Macaca mulatta: one gene and its partners. The protein of the gene in region 4 interacts with the protein of the main gene of each other region in a pairwise test. Links are inferred from orthologs where the notes say so. Each region holds a gene or a part of one and is shown on either strand. Other genes may lie near its edges. The genes, in order: NXT1, LONRF1, PPP1CA and STAU1.

What was found.
Region 1: the proteins of STAU1 (region 4) and NXT1 interact in binary tests that used the Homo sapiens proteins (3 or more experiments, as listed by UniProt). The two-hybrid records come from large-scale screens. The link is inferred for Macaca mulatta from reciprocal best matches to the Homo sapiens genes STAU1 and NXT1.
Region 2: the proteins of STAU1 (region 4) and LONRF1 interact in binary tests that used the Homo sapiens proteins (3 or more experiments, as listed by UniProt). The two-hybrid records come from large-scale screens. The link is inferred for Macaca mulatta from reciprocal best matches to the Homo sapiens genes STAU1 and LONRF1.
Region 3: the proteins of STAU1 (region 4) and PPP1CA interact in a two-hybrid assay, tested with the Homo sapiens proteins (2 studies listed by BioGRID and IntAct). The link is inferred for Macaca mulatta from reciprocal best matches to the Homo sapiens genes STAU1 and PPP1CA.

Annotation. Positions count from the first base shown.
Region 1 is NC_133415.1:60,679,656-60,686,331, forward strand, and holds the start of NXT1 (NTF2-related export protein 1), read right to left. Parts: upstream 3,761-6,676; 5' UTR 3,435-3,760; intron 3,339-3,434; exon of another isoform or gene 1,689-3,338; intron 514-1,688; 5' UTR 453-513; coding exon 30-452; 3' UTR 1-29.
Region 2 is NC_133413.1:13,032,274-13,038,156, forward strand, and holds part of LONRF1 (LON peptidase N-terminal domain and RING finger protein 1), read right to left. Parts: intron 4,886-5,883; coding exon 4,764-4,885; intron 2,348-4,763; coding exon 2,189-2,347; intron 2,079-2,188; coding exon 1,916-2,078; intron 1-1,915.
Region 3 is NC_133419.1:6,982,013-6,986,170, forward strand, and holds the start of PPP1CA (serine/threonine-protein phosphatase PP1-alpha catalytic subunit), read left to right. Parts: upstream 1-1,358; 5' UTR 1,359-1,434; coding exon 1,435-1,489; intron 1,490-2,015; coding exon 2,016-2,147; intron 2,148-2,296; coding exon 2,297-2,527; intron 2,528-3,554; coding exon 3,555-3,659; intron 3,660-4,003; coding exon 4,004-4,158. UniProt on the Homo sapiens protein: Protein phosphatase that associates with over 200 regulatory proteins to form highly specific holoenzymes which dephosphorylate hundreds of biological targets.
Region 4 is NC_133415.1:101,927,118-101,933,000, forward strand, and holds part of STAU1 (double-stranded RNA-binding protein Staufen homolog 1), read right to left. Parts: intron 4,730-5,883; coding exon 4,654-4,729; intron 4,418-4,653; coding exon 4,098-4,417; intron 3,570-4,097; coding exon 3,447-3,569; intron 1,879-3,446; coding exon 1,793-1,878; intron 889-1,792; coding exon 873-888; 3' UTR 1-872. UniProt on the Homo sapiens protein: Binds double-stranded RNA (regardless of the sequence) and tubulin.

The DNA of each region.
Region 1 (6,676 bases), about 41 Mb from region 4:
GAATGAAGCAGAGACCTCTGCCACCCCCACTAGCTGGCCCAATCCTGGAAGCGGAAGCAGTCACTTGCGATCTTCCACACTGTGTTGCTGGGTGACGCCTGGGCGGTCAGGATGAAGTTCTGGTTGAAGTCCCGTTGTTTGTTCCCCTCAAACTTCACTGATCCACAGATCACAACAAGGACTGTGGTCTGGCTCGGTGTGGCTTCATCATGTACAGGCTGGCAGTCTACCACACTGATTTGGAACTCGCTGGAAGGCAGCATTTCAAAAAACTCACTCAAGGATTCTTGTCCTGAAACAGCATTGCCATTCCAGACCAGGGTGGCTGTGCCCATGTATAGGCGGGAGAGCAAACGCCGCCGCTTATCCATGGTGGTGTAGTAGACGTTGACAAACTCCTCAGCAGCTCTGCAGGCCTGATCCACGTAGGTCTTGAAATCCACAGATGCCATTTCTGGTTCTATGGGAGAAGGGCTCCACCAGGGTATTTCCTCTGCCTTGGGGAATCAGGGACTGCAGGGAAGTAAGGTTGAAGAGAACCCATGTGAATGCCAAAGTTCATTCTGCCCTGACAATGGAACATTCCTCCTTTTCTACTACTGGCAAAATAGTTACAGACTGCAGAACAATGACTGTAGGCTCAAATAGTACCCAACACCTAAATGTCTAATTTTACTAAGCCTCAGTTTGCTCATTGTTAAGATGGGATTACCACTGTGGCAAACTGAGACAGTATACATTGTGTTTAGTTAAAAACATTTAGTTATAGTCAGCACTCCATATCTGAAGGTTTTGCATCCACAGATTCAAGCAACCTCAGGGCGAAACCTGCAAATATATTGGGCTGACTGTGCTATGCCATTTTGTTTTTGTTTTTGAGACTGAGTCTCACTCTGTCACCCAGGCTGGAGTGCAGTGGCGTGATCTCGGCTCACTGCAATCCCCCACCTCCCAGGTTCAAGGGATTCTCTTGCCTCAGCCTCCCAAGTAGCTGGGACTACAGGTGCCCACCGCCACGCTTGGCTAATTTTTGTATTTTTAGTAAAGACAGGGTTTCGCTATGTTGGCCAGTCTGGTCTCAAATTCCTGACCTCAGGTGATCTGCCCGCCTCAGCCTCCCAAAGTGCTGGGATTACAGTCATGAGCCACCGTGCCTGGCCTTAACGCCATTTTATATCAAGGACTTGGAGCATCAGCAGATTTGGTCTGTTGCAGGGGTAGGGGGACTGCTGGAATCAATTCCCAGAGGATGAGGAGGGCTGACTGGACCATTAATTTTTTAAATCACACTTTATAAAATAGAGTACATTTGACTATGGAAGGCCACTCTTTCCTGAATGCTTGCAACAGACATGACTGCCCCTTGGTAAAGACAGTGGACCATTTAGAAGGGAAGAGTGGTCACTGGCTCAATAAAGGCCAACCAAACCAACGAAATGCTCGTCAGCTGCTGAGTCTGGGAAAGTCTATCATGGAGCTCACTCAAGAGGAACCAGGAGGGCAGAGAAGGCAGGTTTCTTAAGAGGGTAGAAACACAAATGACATGAGGACAGAACCAAAATGGCAGCCATAATCCCCATGGTAAGCTGGAAGCAGCAAACCTCTTGGGTGAGTGGGGATTAGAAGGGAGGACACCCAGCTTACATAGGTACTAATATCCACCACATCAGTCCTGTGGAGCCACAGTGCCTCCACAGAAAGACATGTTAAATTTCAAAGTTCTTGGGTGTGTGGGCACAGAATGTGTACTATAGCTGAAATGTCACACTGTCCCCCCAATAAAAAAGTAAAAAGCATAAAAAAAATTGACATTTACTTTTTTCAGGGTACAGGTACAACTGTTATGTTATTTTCTCCATAATTAAAATATTTCACTTAAAATAGAAGACATTACTAAAATACTGGATTACTAAAATAGAGGACATTACTAAAATAGTTTATACTTACAAACTTAAATAGTGATTTTTTTTTTTTTCATTTCAAAAAAAGACCTTTTTTTTAAATGATTAGCTTATGAAAGCGATAAAACATTCCACATAGGGCTGGAAAGAGCCAGGTTCTTATAACGGCTGCAAAGGTGGTGCATTGCCTCTGGTAAAGGGCTGGCTGGGAGGGAAGCTGTCCTAAAAATGAGCAGTTAAGAGCCAATTTCAGACCTGGGTCTTTCCACGCCCTCCACAGACCTCAAAGTGAAGCCTCAACTGTACTCTGAACTAAGTACAGCGGTCCCTCGGTATCTGTGAGGAACTGGATTCAGGACCCCCGAGGATACCAACACCTGCTGATGCTGAAGTCCCTGATAGAACGGTGTACTGTTTGATACAACGTATGCGCAGCATCCTCCTATGTACCTTAATCACCTGTAGGTAACTTATAACACCTAATACAATGTAGAAGGGATGTAAATAGTTGTTATACTGTATAGTTTAGGAAATAATGACAAGAAAAAAAAGCCTCTACATGTTCAGTACAAAGGCATTTTTCTTTTTCTGAAGAGTATTTTTGATTTGAGGTTGGTTGAATCCACCCCACGCGGAACCCACGAAGAAGCAGCGCTGTGTTTGCTAAGAGCTTCACATATATTACCTCATTTAAATGTCACCACAAATGAATGAAAAAGGTATTACTATAACAATTTTACAAATGAGAAAAGGGAAACCTAGGGCTGGATCAAGGTAATGACGGTTAAGAGCATTCCTGATCTATCATTTACAAGACTAGACTGAGGGCTGAAATTTTGTCAAGACGATGCTGTCCTTTTACTCGCGTAAGCAAGTCTCCATGAGGACAACTCCAGGACTGCCGGAGTGGGAATTTTCTCCCAGGACCCCATTTCTCTTTGGCTGGAATTCCCGATCTCCACCTCACTCCTCTTCCCTCCATGGCACCAGTCCCCCCATCATCTCAGAAATGCCCCTCTTCCCCGCCCCTGGCTGTCCTTCCAAACACAATCTAACAATTGGCCACGCCCCCACACTCCATAGAAGGACCATCTCCACTTTTGGTTCTCAGTTACCTATGGGGCTGTCAGCCCCGCTGCGTCAAATCAGAAAAAGAACCAGACCTTGAGGACTGGAGTAAGAGGCTGTGAAGATCGCCGCCTCCTCCCACGGCCCGCACCGTCGAATGTCCAGAGCTGGACGGGAGAAGCTACCACAGTGGCATGGTCTTATTTCCTGCGAGTCGCCTTTAATTCAAACCTAGACAGACGCACGCCCTGCCCTGCCCTCCTCAGACCCGAGAGCTGCTCTGCGAGGGGACGCGCCTCTCCTCATTGAAGAGAATTCGCTGCCACGCGTTTTGCACAGTAGAGAGGCAACTCTACCACGTGGACAAAGGTACAGCCGTGTCTTATTCCCGACAATGGAGGAGGGCGTGGGGTATGCACGAGAGGCTGTCTCCGGGGTCAGACCGCCGGGGGGACTGCAACCTACCTGCGCGGCGACGTCCAGGGTCAGCGCGGGCCGCGGCGCCCACGGTCGCGATGCCCCCCGCGCGGGCCGCAGCTCCACCGAGGGGCCGGCCGCGGAGGTCACAGGGTGGGCCCACCGAGGCCTCGGGTAGGGGCACGGGAAGAGCCGCCTTTCTTCCCTCCTCTTCCTTCTTGGAGGCTTACTCCGGGTCACCGGGGCCCCACAGCCTGGGGACTTTCCGGCGCAGTTCCGCGGCTTCCCGCGCGCTGCTAGCCGGACTCCGCGCAGACGCGAGCGCTCCGGCCCCGCCCCCTCTCGCATTCCCGTGACGGGCAGCGAGGTTAGCCAGTGGGACTGCGAGCCGGAAGGCTATCTCCGCCCGTGTGTGGCTTATAAGAGGTGGTAGCTTCCGGGAGTGTCACCTTCCCAGAAACCCCGGCAAATCCGCCGTCGAGTTTTTATTGGCCCAACAGGGTCACAGACCCCGGCCCGTCTGGTTAGGTGGGATCCCTGATTGGGCCAAACCTCTCAGGTCCCGCCCCTAGATCCTCGCTGTTCTTTCCGCTGCGAGGAGGCCGCTTGGCTGGAGAGGGAGGGGACGTTGTGTGGGGTTGGGTGAAGTGCTTTCACCTAGTCCCGCATGCCCTTGTATTGGAGTGATTTCAGTTAAAAGGCTCGTGAAACGTCACTACTTGATGCAGTCACGGCCAGCAGCAGCTGCCTGACCCCGCCGAGGCCTTCCGTATGGCAACATGTGAGGCGCCGCGGTGCTTGAGGCCACAGCGAGGGCAAGGCCGGCCGCGCCTGTGGCATGCGCGTGGCGGAGTGCCTGAGCCGATCGCGCTCCTTAGGAGCTTAAGCCACTTAGAGGCGATGTCCTGGTGGACACAGAGGAAGCCAGTTTTAGTCACATGGGAAATGTAGCTAAGAGTGGGAGGAGACTGGGGCGAGGGTAGGACGTGGGTGAGGCGGGGGCTTGACGGCGGCTTCCCACTGCCCTGAGGCCTGAGGTGTCCCGGGAAACGCGGGCCCGTCAGGAGTTGGGATTCTGTTATTCCGCGTCCCTAGCTAAGTTTCAGCTGTTCTGGAATGAGGACTGGATTTTTACTGAACTTTACCAACAGGCTCAACAGGATATAACCATTCAGTGTGGAGGTTTGAGAAACTGTAGCTTGTAAATTAAAAGAAAAACCTCATTTCTTTAGACAACATTTTCAGCTCCATCTGCTGGTCTGAGGCTGAAAAATTAATTGCAAAGCCAGGAGAGAACTGGGGCTAGATGAAGTGAAGTAGTTTAACCTGTGCTTTCTTGGCGTCCCATCGGCTCCCTTTGCTTGCATTCCTAAGACAATCTTGGTCTCAGATTTCAGGACACATTGAAAACAGTTGGGCTGTTTAGTATAGGCCACCCCTTCCCCCCCCCCCCCCCCCCGCTCCCTCACCCCCACCCCACGCACACACTTCAGTTAAGTAGGTGGAGAGTTTGGATTATTAAAAGGACACGTTGGAGGCTGAGCAGAGAGGGTGAAGGAGCATTTACGGTGCTTTATGAACTGAAATGACTTTATGAACCCCAAGGCAGTGATACTTGGATTGATCTAAATCGGCATGGATGGAATGGAAGTGGGAATGAGAGTTGATCTACTGCACGCTCAGTAGTTTGGATGTTGTGCTGCTTTTGTTTCATATATAATAAGTCCTTTTCATTTCTTTCACATAACTTATTGGGGGAGGTACCATTATTTCTGATTTTATAGACAAAGAGGCTGACAAAGAACCATCCTGGTGTCACAGGGTCAATTCATACCTAGAAAAGCTAGTTAGAAGAACATTAGGACGTTAGAAGAACGTTAATGAAGCTCCAAGGCCTTTTAAAAATGCGAGACTTTAGCCTTGAGAGGCAGCTGTTCTGCCTTGTAGGTTTGTGGGGTCTGCCTTTTAGGTTAGGGTCCTTTTAGGTTTGTGTCTCCAGCATATAAAGTTGTGCCTGACCCATAGCAAGGGCTCAATAAATACTGTCTGAATGAACAGACAAGCCTGGGTTCAAATCATTGCTCCTCAACTGCATGGTTGTGATGATCTGTCCTCAACACACTCCCTGCTCTCTTTGGAAGCAACCCTGGCTTTTATTCCCCCTATGATCCTGGAGTTTGGGGAGGTCAGAGACATCCCTGGTTCCAAAGGGCATACAACTGGCACTGTATGCGTTGAGCACAGCTGAGGGTGGTGGGAGGCCCAATTAGGGCCATTGAGCCTGGAGGTGTTTGCTGAGGGATTCTGGGAAAGGATATTTTTCTCCCTTCCCTTCTGGACCCATGGTGTGTAGATAGCACTGCTGCAGCCATCTTGCTGCCCTGAGTGGTAGACCCTTGATGATGAGGCAGACAGGAAAGCTGGGAAGAAATCAGGCTCTTGATGGCTATGTTGGGAGTCAAATCATCCCTCAAGTTTGGACTTTTTAGTTTCAAGAGCCAGGAAATCCCTTTTATCTTTTATACTATTTAAAATTGGGCATAAACATAAAGTTATTTACAACTTGACTAGTGTGGCTTAAGCATTAGCAGGGTGGCTGTGGCAAGTGAGTTACCTCTTTGGGGCTCAGCTGCCTCCTCTGTAGAATAGGGGCAATGGTCAAATCCATCTCCTTGGGCTGACGTGAGGAGCGAAGGAAACAATGCAACGCTAAGTGCTTCATATGGGGCGGAGCACGAAGTAGCATCCAGAAAGCATTAGGAAAGCAGAATCATGCTTTGACATTTTGCATCTACAGCAGCTTCCTTATCTGCCAACAATCCCTCCAATGACTGGCTTTTAAACTTGGAAGAAGTGTATTGACAAATTGGTGGGATTTGTCACCAAATTGCACGGGCACCTTCTGAAGACGAGCCCAGTGGTTTAAGCAGCCAAGGAGCCAGTGGTCCCATGTGCAGCATGAAGTCCGTCTGGGGAGGACGGGCACATCTGGTCACACAGGCAGAGTCCTTGGCAGCTCTGACGCCCAGGCTTGACTTAAGGATATTTAAGTCTGTAAACACAGGATTGATCTTTTCCCTCATTGTCAATGTTGTTCTCTGGTGCAGGATCTTAACAGCATTTGTTTGCCATGAGAGGCTGTGTGACTTGGAGCCAGTCGACCTACAGTGACAGCAAAGCAGTTGTGACTCTCATGCACTGACACCAAAAACACTTTTTTTTCCCGTCTCTCGGCCTTAGCAGGATCATCTGAGCCACTGCCAGTTCAGAGTGAGTTGGGCTGCTTTTCC
Region 2 (5,883 bases), on a different chromosome or scaffold from region 4:
TGAAGAATTGTGGCCCTGAAATGACTACACAAGATTTGGGCCGTTGCTAACATACACTGACAGGAGCAAGAAACAAAACTTACGACTTGTTTAATCTTTTTTTTTTTTTTTTTAAGCATCTACTCTGCACCCTCACAAAATTCAAGAAAACAAATGACAGGCTCTAGTAAACAAGCAATGATAACAATTATAAGAGTCTGTGATGACAAACGGAGCTGGCCAAAAAGCAGGCAGAGACTTTAAAAGCGTCTCTGCCTGCTTTTTGGCCAGCTCCCTTTTAAAAGCAAGCTTTTAAAGTCAAAGTACTTTACTGTGATAATTTTAACAGATTTTAAAATTTCATTAGAAGTCACAGAAAACAGAATTATTATAAGAAGAGGAAAATTTGCTATAAAAAACAAATCTGAGAAGGTTTTCCAGAATGGACAAGAAAATCACTATATAGATGAAGACATTATGATGAGGAAAAATTACTGGACATTCCGAGGACCACAAAGAGGACTCAAGTTTATAAATAATTTATAATTATAAAAAAATTTATAAAAAAAATTTATACAAGTTTATAAATATCAAATCTGTGATACTTTTAGAATGTGATTCCATTGCCTACATGTTTATAAGTATTAATACATATAGTCATGTAATTTAGCCATATACTCAAGTGATTTTGTCATCAAATCCAATATGTGAAGATATAACTTTACATGAAACTGAAATAGGGTTATTAACTTTACAAAGGAGAACCTTTAGCAAGTGATTCCATTAATTAAGTATGCTTAAGGTTGGCACAGATTATACCAATCAACTCAAAATTTCAACTTACACAATACTTTTGGCCAACTGCACAGGGCAAAGTACCCCAATGCATTTTTATAATAAGATAGGACAGCCAATGTCAGACTAATCAGGTTTATCAGCAGAGAGCCAAATGGCATAATGCTAAAGCTCAGAGCCTGAGTCAGAGAGTTTGCTTTAATCATTTTTGTTACATTATAGGATCTTAGGCAAATTAATTAACACCTCTGAATTATACTTTCCTCATAGAGTTGTGAAAATTCTATGAGTTAATGTTTGTGAAAATACCTAATGCCAATATCCAATAAATGTTGACTGAAATGAAGGGCCTAAACAGATCAATGAACAAGTGACGGGATAAGATCTGTTTTTATAATGCCTTTCCAAAAGAAATTGCCTTCAATTTGGTATTTATAGCATCACAAGTCATTTTTCTGGTTCCTAAACTAACTGCAGTAGGTAAACTGGGTATTGCAAACATCAAAAGGGCCACATTAACCCTATTCTAGAAAGACATCACAAAACCGCTACCCTGCTAAGATATCACCAACATGTACACTGACAGTGCTTTCTATGTCTGCCCCAGGGTCTTCACACAGCATTCAACTCTATTTTATCATTAAGGTTATCTTAGGCACAAGAACAATCTGAGTATATAAAACAATTCTTACAAGACTTGATGTGTTTACATTTACATGAAGTTTCAATCTACTAATTCCATCAGCTTCAACTACTAATACATTCAATAAAACAGGGCAGAAATGTAAACCTTTCAAAACTTAGATGGGCTGGAAGTTCAACTTAACCACTATTAAGTACCTATCATGTGTATACACACATGCACATGTGTACATATACACATACATTCTAGGGCACTGGGCTGGTTGTTAAGCCTGTAGAAATAAAGAGAATCTATGTTCTAGTCTTCCAAGTTCTCTCAGAATGTGCAACAACTGCAGAGCAAGATACGAAAAAGGTAACTTGGAGCGCATTCTCAACAGTGGTAAGGCTCTCTGATAAGAAGAACTGGTTCATGCGCCTAGAAAATAGCCTGCATGCCTGTACCAATCCCTGGAACAGGATACACTAAAGTATGCTGGCAAAGCATATTTTAAAATACCTTAACATCTTCCAGATATTCAATGTCGGCAGTGCAATATCCATCTTTCATTCCTCTTTTTAAAACCCTAAACCGCTTTCCTCCAACTGTATCAACCACAGACCTTCCATCAGGTAAGAAATGCACATTTCTAATTTGTAACATACAACCATAATCTGCAAAACTAAAAGAAAACCTTGATTAGTAACAAAGTGGAAACATAAACATGCAAGTTCTCATCCATATTGACAGGTCTAACATAAATACAAATATTTTAGTTCACAAAAAGCATACCTATTTTGTGTATCACTGACACACATGCCAAACTGTTTGGTTCCAGTCTGTATACTTCTTCGAATCATCAATCTATATCTTGGCTCAAATACATGGAGAGGGCAAGGCACAGTGGGGTAGGCCATAGTGCAAACAAATATTGGAACATTCTTGGTCAAGCTGAGGGAAAAACAGTTTAATTATTGAGTTCATACAAGAAAAATATTACCAAACACACACAAAAAATGAGTGAGGTTTATAACAGTAATGAACTAATGTAAAACAAAAAAAGAATAAGTTCTAAATAAGGTGGTTTTTATTCTTGGCAAGAACAAGAATCAGCACCCCGTTCATTAAGCTCACACTGATGAAATATTAATACTAAAAATCTGCTGTGATCCTCTTACTTATAAATTGAATTTTAAGACACCAGATTATCTTACAGAGCTAAGTATCTTTATGAATCAATTTATTATAATATTTTATATTAAAATCTGTTTAAATATTTATAACATATGACAATAAATATCTTTTATCCAAACACTTATAGTTACTCTTAGATAACAGTAAGAAAAAGTGAACTCCCACAACAGACAAAAAGCAAATAATTAAAAATTCTTAGGCATTAAAGTATTTTCAAACGCAAGATCAGAAAACATATTCTGATGAGATAACATTTTTTCCAAGTAATTAAAATGATATAACATTTTTCATTGCCAGAGTGGTAGAAAGAAAGAGAAGGATAAAGGCAATGCCCAGTCCTGTCTTAGATATGGGAAAACTGGCAGCATGGGGGCAGTCTGAAACAGCACAGGCACACTAAAGAACATGGCTACAGAGAGCAGAAACCTTATGTTGTTGGCAGGAAATGTTCATGTTCTTGGAACCAACCAGCTTATTTTCAGACATGAGTGGACAAGTGCTACATGAATGTTCACTGTAGCAATATAGGTAGTAACCAAAATGTAGAAGCATAAAGAGGAGACTAGTAAGATCAATTATGGTACATCGGTAAAACAGAATACTATGTTTCCATTAAAAGATGATGTGTATGAACTGAATTAGAAGAAATGCTTATATCAATGAGAGGAACAGGTTTTAGATATAGATCATGAATAACATGATCCCACCTTTGTTTAAAGCCTGTTTATACATACTGCATTCAAGTTTGGAAATACGTATGTCAAAATGCCAATAGTTGATTCCCTTTGGGTTGCAGATTATGGCTTTTTTTAAAATGCTCATTTGTATTTTTGAGTTTTTTTCAAAATGACCATCAATTACTTATATACACATAAGATGAAACATGTTTAAAATATGTATTTTAAAAAACAGCCTCGTTAGTAAGCAGCTGGACACCCTGACGCTTCTCTTCTCTCCAACACGCAGCTCTCTGTGTGCGACTCCCTCCTCTGTCCTTTGAGTCTACCACTCCTCTGTGGGCGGGCTGGTTGTGTCACTGTGTTTAAATTTGCAAAAGTCAAACTGCAGCTTTCTTAAATCTAGATGCTTCAGCATTGATCAGAAAGGTTCATGATTGTCACATCAGAGTATTTTGTAAATCACACAATAAAATACCAATTCTGTAAGAAGACAAATCAATATCTATTTCTATAAAGAAAAGAGTGGCAATCTTTCTTCTACGAGGGCCCCTGGCTCACTGAAGACATCTGATGGACACAGGTTGAAAAAGGAGAGTCTACAAGCACAGCTTTTGTTAGAAAGTGACATATAAAATGTTCAATTTATATTTTGAAAAGTAATGGAAACAAAAAGTTGTTAAATAAATAAAACAGCATACAAAAATTATAATTTTGCTTTTTAGTGTGTTCAATTAAAAGAGAGTAAAAGAAATAAAGAAATTTAAAACCCATGAATAAAATTTAAAGAGACCCAAGTGACTGGTCAGAGGGAAAGACATTTAGGGAAAAGAAAGGGAGAAAAATGGGAAAGAAAAACAGAAAAGAGACAACGAGCAATGCCTTGCCCTGCCTACCCAGCTCCATCAGCTGCTGTGTTCTCTGCGGAGTGGTCTGAATTACCAAATCCCAAAGTTACCTCTGAGATTTTCACCCTCCCGACACCAACTCAGTTGTGCTCCCAGTCAGTATCTTCATTAAGGGAGGATTTGGCCCTGAACACCTCTCTTCCAATTTCAATCTCAGATCTCAAAGTTTGGAAAGCCCCTTCCGGGCCTCCATGTGACAGAAAATCCCCTGCCAATCTAGGTTACTGACCCTAGACCTTCCTCTCGCCCTACTATGACACATGAGAGCTGCCATCACCACCAATGTCACTGTCACTGGCGCCCCCTCTCTATTTCCCATTCCACTGCCTGATGGCACTGTAGGAAATTCCTCCTCCGCCTAAAATACTGCTTCAGCCCACAGAGCTGAGTCAACCACTCCCTGTAAAACATCCGGATGTTACCAAGTGAACTTTTATAAAATTCTGTCTGTTGAGGACCACAGAAACTGACCAGTACTTCTTGACTAGACTGAGATGAACTACAGACAGGATCCAGCTTGCGGTGAGGTTTTCCCTTACTATTAAAGGGTAGTAGTTCATAATTTTTTTTTTATGAGAAGAAACTTACTGTGAGAGTTCAGCAGTTTCTTCATCATATATTTTTTTTCTCTCAGACAGTTCATCAGGCAGATACTTCACTATTAATTCTTCCAACAGCTGTGTGACACAGTACCTCCTATCTGCTAGATACTAAAAGACAATATTATTTTACATTCCAGCAGTGGTTTTCCTACAGTATAAAACAGGCAACACAGTTAACTGATATATTAAAGCCTTTATTACATATTTATACCATCAATTCTGGATTAATTAGTGAGGGGAACATTACAATGGATGATGCTAAGCAAAAAAACCTGTCTAAGGCTTTGCTCAAGAGCATTAAAGATAGTTGGCTGCAACCTGAACCAAGTCCTGTACAGAAGAACTGCTTCCTGCTGTGACCACAGCTCCTCTATGAGCTGCAGAGGGCCCTGCCCCGCTGTCTTCCATAACAGAGGCCCTTTTCCATCTGACAGCTCATGGGCACTAAACTGTCATTTTAACTGAGATACAAAAAGGAGATAAGGAATAAATAAAATAACACATTTGCCTTATATAAGAAAAGCAAAACATCTGTTCTGTTCCCAGTTTCAGACACAGTCTCTAGATAATTTTTCTTTCAGATTTTTCTTCCATTGTCACCCACTACTGAGTAGAGGAGTGGACCTCGACTCTGTCCTTGAGTGACCCAAGGACGGTGCGTTTCTTGGGACACTATCACTCAGACCTTATCAAGATATTGCTTTTCCTATACGATCCATCCACCCCAGCTCTATATAAAATCGTACATTTGCGCTGCCCCCTAAATATTCTGAAAAAGTACTATCCTCGTGCATTTTTGTGTCATTCTCTATTCCAACTTATAAGTCATCTCTTTCACTCCTGCCTATGAAAAACATGTCTATCCTTCAAGGTCTGACTCCAATTTTACCTTTTTCACAAACTCTTCCTTAGTTATTTTTTTCTCTCCCAAGAACCCATATTTTACTGTTTTCACCACATAGTAGGCATTGTAGCATGTAGTAGATGTACACAGATACATTACATCTCTGTAGTTAAAACTAAAAATTGCTTAGGGTAGGGCCAGGGACATGGTCAGGGTGTGTGCACATAACTTTGTACAAAGAAAATGCCCAATACATATTTAT
Region 3 (4,158 bases), on a different chromosome or scaffold from region 4:
CCATCCCACCTCAGCCTCCCAAAGTGCTGGAATTACAGGCCTAAGCCGCCACAGCAGGCCCACCTCCAGTTCTGAGGTTACTGGCATGTAAAGCACCCAACTCAGGGTTCCAACAAGAATTAAGGTTAATTTATCGTCTGCTCCTTTGAGACAGAGTCTCACACTGTCACCTCGGCTAGGGGGTGCAATGGGCCTTGGCCCACTGCAACCTCCGCCTCCCAGGTTCAAGTGATTCTCCTGCCTCAGCCTCCCCAATAGCTGAGATTACAGGCGGCTGCCATCATGCCCAGCTAACTTTTTGTATTTTTAGAGAGATGGGGTTTCACCATGTTGGCCAGGCTGGTCTTGAACTCCTGACCTCAAACGATCCTCCCACCTCAGCCTCCCAAAGCGCTGGAATTACAGGCGTGAGCCACTGCACCCAGCCATGTCTGCTCATATAGTAATTCTTTTTACGTGCACACCCTGCAATATTACTGTGCTACTCAAAAGCTAATTATGGGGCCAGGCTTGTTGGCTCACGCCTGTAACCCCCCCAGGACTTTGGGAGGTCGAGGCCAGTGGATCACTTGAGGTTAGGAGTTCAAGACCAGCCGGGCCAATATGGCGAAACCCCACCTCTGCTAAACACACAAAAACCAGGCGCAGTGGCGCGCGCCTGCAATCCCAGCTACTCCAGAGGCTGAGGCAGGAGAACCCCTTGAACCTGGGAAGCGAATGTTGCAGTGAGCCAAAGTCGCGCCACTGCACTCCAGCTTAGGCGACAGAGCAAAACTCTGTCTCAAAAAAAATAAATAAATAAAAGCTAATTATGGGACTTGTAAGAAAATATTAATTTATCATGCCCCAAGGACCAAAGTGCGCTGGAAGTTCAGCCGTAGCTGTCTTTGAGTGTGGTCAGCCGCCTGGGGGCCACGGAGACCCACGAAAAAGGGGGTCGTACGTGAATGCGAGGTCCAGGTCTTGCACCAGTCTGTTCATATCTCTTGAGCCTCAGTTTCCTTTCCTGCACTTCGAGCAGTTAACCCTCAGTGCCTAGCAGCCGGTTATTAATATATTCACAACACCCTCCACCCAGGGCAGGGGTGGGAACGGCTGTTCTGCTTTTGAAAGAGAAAAACAACTTCCACAGTTCTTCCGGCCCCACATCCTCTGAACCGGGCTGGGCGCCTCCTCTGGGGCGTAACCAGTTGGACGCGCCCCCGACAGACCCCGCCGCCAAGGCCCCGCCCCCCAGGCCGCGGCGCTTCACGTCCAGCGGGGGCGCTAGAGCGCGGGGGACCGGGCGGGGCGGGCCCGGGAGGCCCGGAGGCGGGGCCGCGGGCCGGGGGCGGACTGGGGCGGGCGGAAGGAGAGCCAGGCCGGAAGGAGGCTGCCGGAGGGCGGGAGGCAGGAGCGGGCCCGGAGCTGCTGGGCTGGAGCGGCGGCGCCGCCATGTCCGATAGCGAGAAGCTCAACCTTGACTCGATCATCGGGCGCCTGCTAGAAGGTTGGTCGCGGCGGGGGAGGCCTGCGTCCGCCGCTCCCGGGCCCCCTGCCGGGCCCGGAAGTGGCGCGCGGGCGGGCCCCCGGGGCCAGCTTAGACTGGGCGGGGACGGGCCGCGAGGTTCGGTGGCCGCAGCCGCCCCCCCGCGGACGCGCCTGAGAGGTCCTGGGCCCGCTCCGACGCGCGGAGCAGCCCCCTCTCCCGGGCCGGGGGCGCACGGGTTGCCTGGGTTCTTGAGGCGAGGGAGAAACCCGGGAAGCCCGGTCCAGGAAGGGGTCCTGCGCTGTGAGGTGTTTGGGTGGCAGCCCCCTGCGCACGACAGTCGCCTCCCGAGGCGCTGAGGGTAGTTGGGGGCTTCCCTTGGGAGGCTTGAGGCCGAGGTCCCGGGAGGCTCAGCAGCAACAGCTGCCTGCGGGCAAGGAGCGGCCGAGGAGGCCTAGGCGCCCCCGGAGGTATCCATGGGGCCACCCGTGTCGCCCACCCTCCACCTGTCAGGGTCCCGGGTCTTGACACCCCATTGCGCCCCCAGTGCAGGGCTCGCGGCCTGGCAAGAATGTACAGCTGACAGAGAACGAGATCCGCGGCCTGTGCCTGAAATCCCGGGAGATTTTCCTGAGCCAGCCCATTCTTCTGGAGCTGGAGGCACCCCTCAAGATCTGCGGTGAGCCCCCCGACCCAGGTCCCCTTGCTTTCCTGAAAGTGGCACTGGCCCCCACAGAGTTCCTGGAGTCCTCCTCCCTTGAGCCCAGTCCTGGTCCTGGGTTCAGGTCTAGACCCTGCATCTAGCTTACCCGATTCCCTGGGTCACAGGTGATATACACGGCCAGTACTATGACCTTCTGCGACTATTTGAGTATGGCGGTTTCCCTCCGGAGAGCAACTACCTCTTTCTGGGGGACTATGTGGACAGGGGCAAGCAGTCCTTGGAGACCATCTGCCTGCTGCTGGCCTATAAGATCAAGTACCCCGAGAACTTCTTCCTGCTCCGTGGGAACCACGAGTGCGCCAGCATCAACCGCATCTACGGTTTCTACGATGAGTGTGAGTGGTCTGAGCGTCTGGGGCTGCCCGGGTCCTGAACCACACTCCTTGTCATTCAGTGGGACCTTCACATTGGCCTGATATCTGACAGACACTTGCTAGACTGTGCACTCCACGAAGGCAGGGCCCAGGTCCGTTCTTGTGCCTGCCCTGCCCCTCCTGGCATGGGGTCTGGGGAATGGTTGCTGACTGAAGGACTGTCCGTATTCTAGTGCTTTCCCCCAGGGCCCTGCCTGGTGACGTTCCCTCTACATTTGCTACTAAGCATTTAGGATGTTTGCAGATGAGCTCTGCTGTCCAGAAGCTGAGATAAACCAGACCTGTACTTGGCCCGGCTCGTGGGCCGGGGCGTGCAAGGAGTGCCAACCCTGAGGCTGGTCCAGATTGGAACTCAGTTTCCAGTGGACTCGGGTGCTTTAGAATTACTTCTGGTGGGAGGCTGAGGCGGGAAGATCACTTGGACTCAGAAGCTCCAAGTTACAGTGAGCTATGATCTTGCCACTGCACTCCAGCCTGGGTGACTGAACAAGACCCTGTTTCTTTACTTTTTTGAGACGGAGTTTCGCTCTTGTTGCCCAGGCTGGAGTGCAGTGGTGTGATCTCAGTTCACTACAACCTCCATCTCCCGGGTTCAAGCGATTCTCCTGCCTCAGCCTCCCGAGTAGCTGGGATTACAGGCATGCGACACCACGCCTGGCTAATTTTTTTGTATTTTAGTAGAGACAGGGTTTCTCCATGTTGGTCAGGCTGGTCTTGAACTTCTGACCTCAGGTGATCTGCCTGCTTCAGCCTCCCAAAGTGCTGGGATTACAGGTGTGAGCCACCATGCCCTGCCCAGATCCTGTTTGTTTAAATTACAAATTAAAATAAAAAGTAACTAGAATTACTCCTGGAAGGCTGACAGGCGGCAGGGGTGGGGGTGGTTTGCATTGGTGCCTGACTCTCTCCCATCTGCGGCTGAATAGCCCAGAGACCCCGGCTAAGGGTGGAGCAGGCAGACCCCTCACAGCTACCTCCCTCTGGGCAGGCAAGAGACGCTACAACATCAAACTGTGGAAAACGTTCACTGACTGCTTCAACTGCCTGCCCATTGCGGCCATAGTGGACGAAAAGATCTTTTGCTGCCACGGAGGTGAGCTCTCCTTAGTTGTCATCTGGGAAGTCACTCCTTTCAGGAAGTGTCTCCCATACCCCCCTGTGCTGGGCTGCACTCACTTCCTTGATGTGCATCCTACATGGGGCGGGCTTGTCTCCTTTCTCCCAGGAGCTCTGTGCTCCGGAGGCCAGGGGCGCCTTTGTGCCTGTTTGGGAACTTGAAAAAGCTGAGGGGAAGGGGATGGCTTCTGCCTGCCTAGGCACCCAGGAGACCAGTGGAGGGACCAGGAGGGTGGTGGAAAAGGTGAGGCTCACTGGCCAAGGCTTCCTGGAGGAAGGATGTCCTTGTTTGAGGAAGTGACCTTCCTTCTGGCCCTCCAGGCCTCTCCCCGGACCTGCAGTCCATGGAGCAGATTCGGCGGATCATGCGGCCCACAGACGTGCCTGACCAGGGCCTGCTGTGTGACCTGCTGTGGTCTGACCCTGACAAGGACGTGCAGGGCTGGGGCGAGAACGACCGTGGCGTCTCTTTTACC
Region 4 (5,883 bases):
AAATTGTCCAATTTATACAACTGTGGGAGACTTATTCAAGGTTTTTGAAAGTCCAGGACTGTTTCAGCAGAACCAGAGGGCACACAATTTGCATCACTGAAATTGTCCTGGGTTAGTCAATTAAATAAAAATATCTAACCACATACACATGGATATGATCTTTGTCGGTTAGATTATTGATAAAGTCAGTCTCAGACAAGTTTCCAAACTGTGCTATATAACTAGATACAATTGAGAAACTCTCAAATGAAAATTTTATATAGTGTCATATCAATCAAAAGAAAATAATGAAACTAAGAATACAGATCACTGTTGGAAGATAAAGCAGTGGTGATGGTGTGGGTACTGCAGGAGGTGGTGGGGCCATAGCACGCTAGAAAAGTTGGGTCACGCTGAGTAGGAAGCATTTGATTTTCTCTGGTGCTTTTAGCTCTGGGGCCGGTCAAAGGCCTCTCTCTGGCATGGCTGTCCAGGGTTTGTCCCAATGTGTCTGAGTGAGCCAGCCTGAGAAAGGGTCATGCTGTTTCTTCTTTCACACAGGGGGAAAAAAAGACCAAACACGGAGGTGCCCAGGGTGTGGATCTGCTGGTGTCCCGGGAGAACCAGCTGGCTGGGCAGCCCTTCTTCCCCACAGGCAGCTGCTATTGCATAGGGACCACCAGGTCACCGAGTGGCCGTCACAACCCCAGCACAGTCCAGCCCGGCCACAGCCGCCGCCTCGTGTCTGTTGTCTTCCCTGCTGCTGCCCACATCCTTTACCCACCGTGTCTCTCGGCCCACTGGAGGTATCAGAAATTCCAAATTTTCAAAGCAGTTTCAGTATTTTCAGTATATATGTTGGGATTTTTTAATGGTTCATGGCCAGAAAAGGTTCAGCACCTCCCACACCTTTAAGGAAGAAAAATGAAAATGATGCTAGTTTTGAAATGTAAGAGAATTAAAGTACTATTAAAAATGAAAAGAAATTGGCAAGCATCAGGAAGTACAATATACAATACTAAAAGCCCCAGTTTATGATAACAAAAGTTTTCCCAGGATATGCCAGTAAATAAAATAAGCAAGGAGAGTGTGTGTATTTGCTATCTCTGCGGGGGGAAAGGAAGAAAATGAGGGAAGAAATATATGTCTATATTTGCATAAAGAAACATACAGGAAAGATACAGGAGAAACTAGTAAAAATGTGATCTATGGGGGAGGCAGTGGGAAGAATAGGAGGGATGGGATGGGGGCTGTCTGAGGAGAAGATTGTACCTTGTAAAATAAAAGAGAGCTCTGACCATGTGAAGGTATGACTGACTCAAAAAGGTAAAAAGGTTTTTTTTGTTGTTGAGACAAAGAGTCTTGCTCTGTCGCCTAGGCTGGAGTGCAGTGGTGCTATCTTGGCTCACTGCAACCTCCACCTCCCAGGTTTTAAGTAGTTCTCTGCCTCAGCCTCCCGAGTAGCTGGGATTACAGGTATTTGCCACCACACCCAGCTAATTTTTGTATTTTTAGTAGAGACAGGGTTTCACCATCTTGGCCAGGCTGGTCTTGAACTCCTGACACCTCATGATCCACCCACCTCGGCCTCCCAAAGTGCTGGGATTACAGGCGTGAGCCACTGTGCCCAGCCTCAAAATGTTTTTTAAAAGTAGAGCTCTCTGCCCAGAGAATTTGGAAACCTTTCAGGCAAAAGGGCCAGAAAGTAACTCAGGCAAATATTTCCCCGCTGAGTCAGCAGATGGTGTGAACTCAACACAAACGAGGGGCAGCCTCCCCATCATCAGTGCCTCCCCTTCATCAGTGCACTCACACAGACATTGGTCCGTTTCCTGTTCTTGGCATCTCTGTACTTTGTTGGTCCAACTCAGACAGCAACTTTAAGATGTTCAGCGCAGCCTAGTGGGGATGGAAAGAAGAGTAAAGCCACAGCCATCACTTGGGACCACAGCATGATACACTGGTTAGGCAGGCAAGAGTTCCTGCTGCCCAGCAAACAGGTGGCAACTTCTTAAACTCTTGTACTACTAAATAAAACTTTGAATTTTTAATTTAAAATACAAATTTAAAAAATACTCAGTTACCTCATTGAATCATAACCTCTGAAAATGTTGTATTTTGCCTTCTAGTATTTTTAGCCTTGTGGTAACCAGACTGTATAAATGTTATATCCTGCTTTCTAACAAAAATCTATCATGTATTTTTCTTTCTACAGAGACAGGGTCTCACTAAGTTAAGTTGCCCAGGCTGGGCTCAAACTCCTAGGCTCAAGCGATCCTCCCAAAGTGCTGGGATTACAGGTGTAAGCCTCCACACCCGGCCTATCATGTATTTTTCTTATTACGTTATCTTCAGAGACACTGTTTTGTTGTTTTGTTTTGAAACAGAGTCTCACCCAGTTGCCCAGGCTGGAGTGCAGTAGTGCGATCTTAGCTCACTGCAACCTCCACCTCTTGGGTTCAAGCGATTCTCCTACCTTGTCTCCCAAGTAGCTGGGATTACAGGCGCCCACCACCACACCTGGCTAATTTTTTTGTATTTTTAGTAGAAATGGGGTCTCACCACATTGGCCAGGCTGGTCTCGAACTCCTGAGCTCAGGTGATCCGCCCGCCTCAGCCTCCCGCAGTGCTGGGATTATAGCGTGAGCCACCGCACCCCACCCAGAGACATTAATTTCATGCATGCATGATGTCCCATCAAGTAAATACACCACAGTTTGCTTAGATTTGTTAATCTGATCAATTCCTTTTCTGAGTTTTCTTTTTTTTTTTTTTTTTTGAGACTGAGTCTTGCTCTGTCGCCCAGGCTGGAGTGCAGTGGCCGGATCTCAGCTCACTGCAAGCTCCGCCTCCTAGGTTTACGCCATTCTCCTGCCTCAGCCTCCCAAGTAGCTGGGACTACAGGCGCCCGCCACCTCGCCCGGCTAGTTTTTTGTATTTTTTAGTAGAGACGGGGTTTCACCGGGTTAGCCAGGATGGTCTCGATCTCCTGACCTCGTGATTCACCCGTCTCGGCCTCCCAAAGTGCTGGGATTACAGGCTTGAGCCACCGCGCCCGGCCCCATCTCAGTTTTCTTATAACAGTAATTTCATCTGAATAGAACACCAAAGCAAGTGGTTTTTACAGCTGCCAGAACATGGACCTGCAGTTCCTTGTTCTGGTGAGAGAGGAAGTGAGTGCAGTCTCCAGGTGAGCTGCAGGATCCCAGTCGCCCCTCCAGACCAGCAGGGAAAAGGGAAAGGTGGACTAAAGCTGATGAGTTCTGATCAAGAGTGAGAAATCAATCCAAGCAGTTATGACAAAAAGTCTTAAAAAATATGAACACTATCAAAGAATTAATTGTTCTCAAAGTCTATGGGAGAATCTTTCTCCCACATTCCTCAGGCTAGTAACAAGCTGAACCAAGGCAGGCTCCACATAAACACACAACTTAACACCCTAATCCCTCACCCAAGGTGTGACATACCATATCATGGCAGGACTCCACATCCTTGCCGATACCATGGCTGATCAGAGGTGGCTGAGAGGAGCAATTGATAAGAGATACAAATTCGTTCTTGTTGTTTTTGGGGAAGTCTTTGTATTCAACCTAAGGAGGAAAAGAGAGCTGAGGTTAGGTAGGGTAGGGAACAGCAAGTATGAGTGGGCTGAAGGGCTACAGCTCCGGGCCCCACAAGCAAGGAGATCACCCGCTCTTCTCTCCAACTCAGCCTGACTGTGGCTATACCAAGACCTGCTCTGTCAGCCCAGAACCTTCCAGGAACCTAGGTGTCTGCTCAGAAGCCCTAGACTGGGAGAAGCCATATCCTTTCCCACCAGGCAGAAGGTGTCAGCATGATGAGTCCGTTCTTTGAAATCCAAATTTACAACACTGCAAGTGGTTAGAAGCTTTGTTTTTAGGGTTGGCTTGCATTTTGAAATATTACTAAAGGATAAAGATGTTTCTCTTACCACATATGCTTACAATACTTCTATACCTCCTTCCCTGCCACCCTTCCACCACTGCTCCCCAACCCATCCCTGATTTAAGAAACAAAGTCCAAAGTTCATTTTCTGAGAGAAGCCAAAGGATGACTGTCCTGAGGCACAGCCATCACAGCTCAAGCCTGACAGTTACCTGGAATCCCTGGACTCTGGAAAGATAGTCCAGTTGTTCAGAGGGTCTCGTGAGAGGTCCATGGGGTACGTGGCCTGAAGAGATGTTATTCTTTAAAATGGTCTCGGCTGTGGGCGAGGTGCCCCCATACAACAACTCTCGGGCTATCATGGCAGTTACCGTGGCCTTGGCAGGATTTGGAGCTGCCCTGGTAAAATCTTTGGTGTGATGTCCTTGACTAACTCCTACAGCCTGGGCGACCTCGGGCACCATGGGAAGAATTCCAGCAGGCAGCTGCTGATGACTTAGGTAAGGCATCCTGAACTCATCCTCTTTATTACCTGGGAGGGACACACACGGTAAACACGAATCCACATCCACAGCCTGGAAAAACGCGATGACACCATCAAACCCCACGCTGGCCCTCCCCTTGCCATGCATGGCGGCGCAGGGAATCGGGGAATGATACAGACACTTTGCATGCAGGACCTCACTGGCTGGACTCCTGCTGTCATTCAGGACCCATGCAAATCCCAGAATCACGTTCAGAGGAAGATGATATTAAGATCACACTTACTAGTCCCATTTTCATCCCCAGAGCCAGGTTCAAAAAAGGTTACTTTTCTTCCATCCCCTGGTTTCTTTATGGGTGTCTTAAAAAAGAAACAAACAAACAAACAAAAAAAAAGGCATGAGCATAAATCAGATCATTGAAAAATTAGCTCCTGCTGTCTAAACCTGCATAAAATCCAATCAGCAATAACTGAGGCAATCGGCAGAAAAACCCTGCCCCACCTGACCACTGGCACGCTGACAGACACCTGGGCAGAGCCTGCCTCCTTCTCCTAACGCACCCTCCTGCCCACACCCCTGCCCACAAAGAGCATCTAACAAAGTGCACTAACCTGTGAATGCTGAGCTGCACTCTGCACCCACAGGAAGACGGGAAGCATTTAACCAGAAAGAGCAGAGATGCTAGACGGTAGAGCCCACCAAAGTGGGGAAAGAAGCTTTCAGACTGAAGCTAAACAAATAAATCAAGAATATTTCCTGGAGCTGATATCCAATTAAAAAATAAGGTGACATTCCAAAATTAACACCCTTATGGGGAAAATGTTATTACCTAAGAATTCTGTCAAACACTACCTCACCTTTCTACGAAGTAACAAAGGACACTATGAATGTCCTATAAGATTCTGAAATGAAAAACTCAAAATCCAAGTCTAAGATCTATACTGGTGGTATCTGGGGTCTCAGTCAGTTATTAACTGGCCACGACTGAAGCTGTTTCTCACTGTCAATACGACTGGCAGACATCAATGAATTAGGCTTGATTTCAAGTTTATCTCACCAGGACCATACAGTGACGGGAAAGAAGATCAGCCTTGGCTTTTGCCGAGGTCCTGCTTACCACTTCTGGCAGACAAGAATTTTTCTTTTTACGTTCCTTTTTTGTTGTTGTTGAGACAGGGTCTGTCGCCCCGGCTGAGTGCAGTGGCATGATCATGGCTCACTGCAGCCTTGACCTTCCAAGGCTCAATCCTCCCACCTCAGCCTTGTAACTCAGACTACAGGCACAAGCCACCATACCTGGCTGATTTTTAATTTTTTGTAGAGACAGGGTTTCATGCTGCTCAGACTGGTCTTGAACTCCTGGATTCAAGGTCTCAGCCTCCCAAAGTGCTGCGATTACAGGTGTGAGCCACCACACCTGGCCGTGAATTTTCCACAGGGGATTATTTTCATCTGATATTTAACTCACATAGTAAAAAAGAAATCCCAAACCTAAACTTTGGATTTGGCCTGT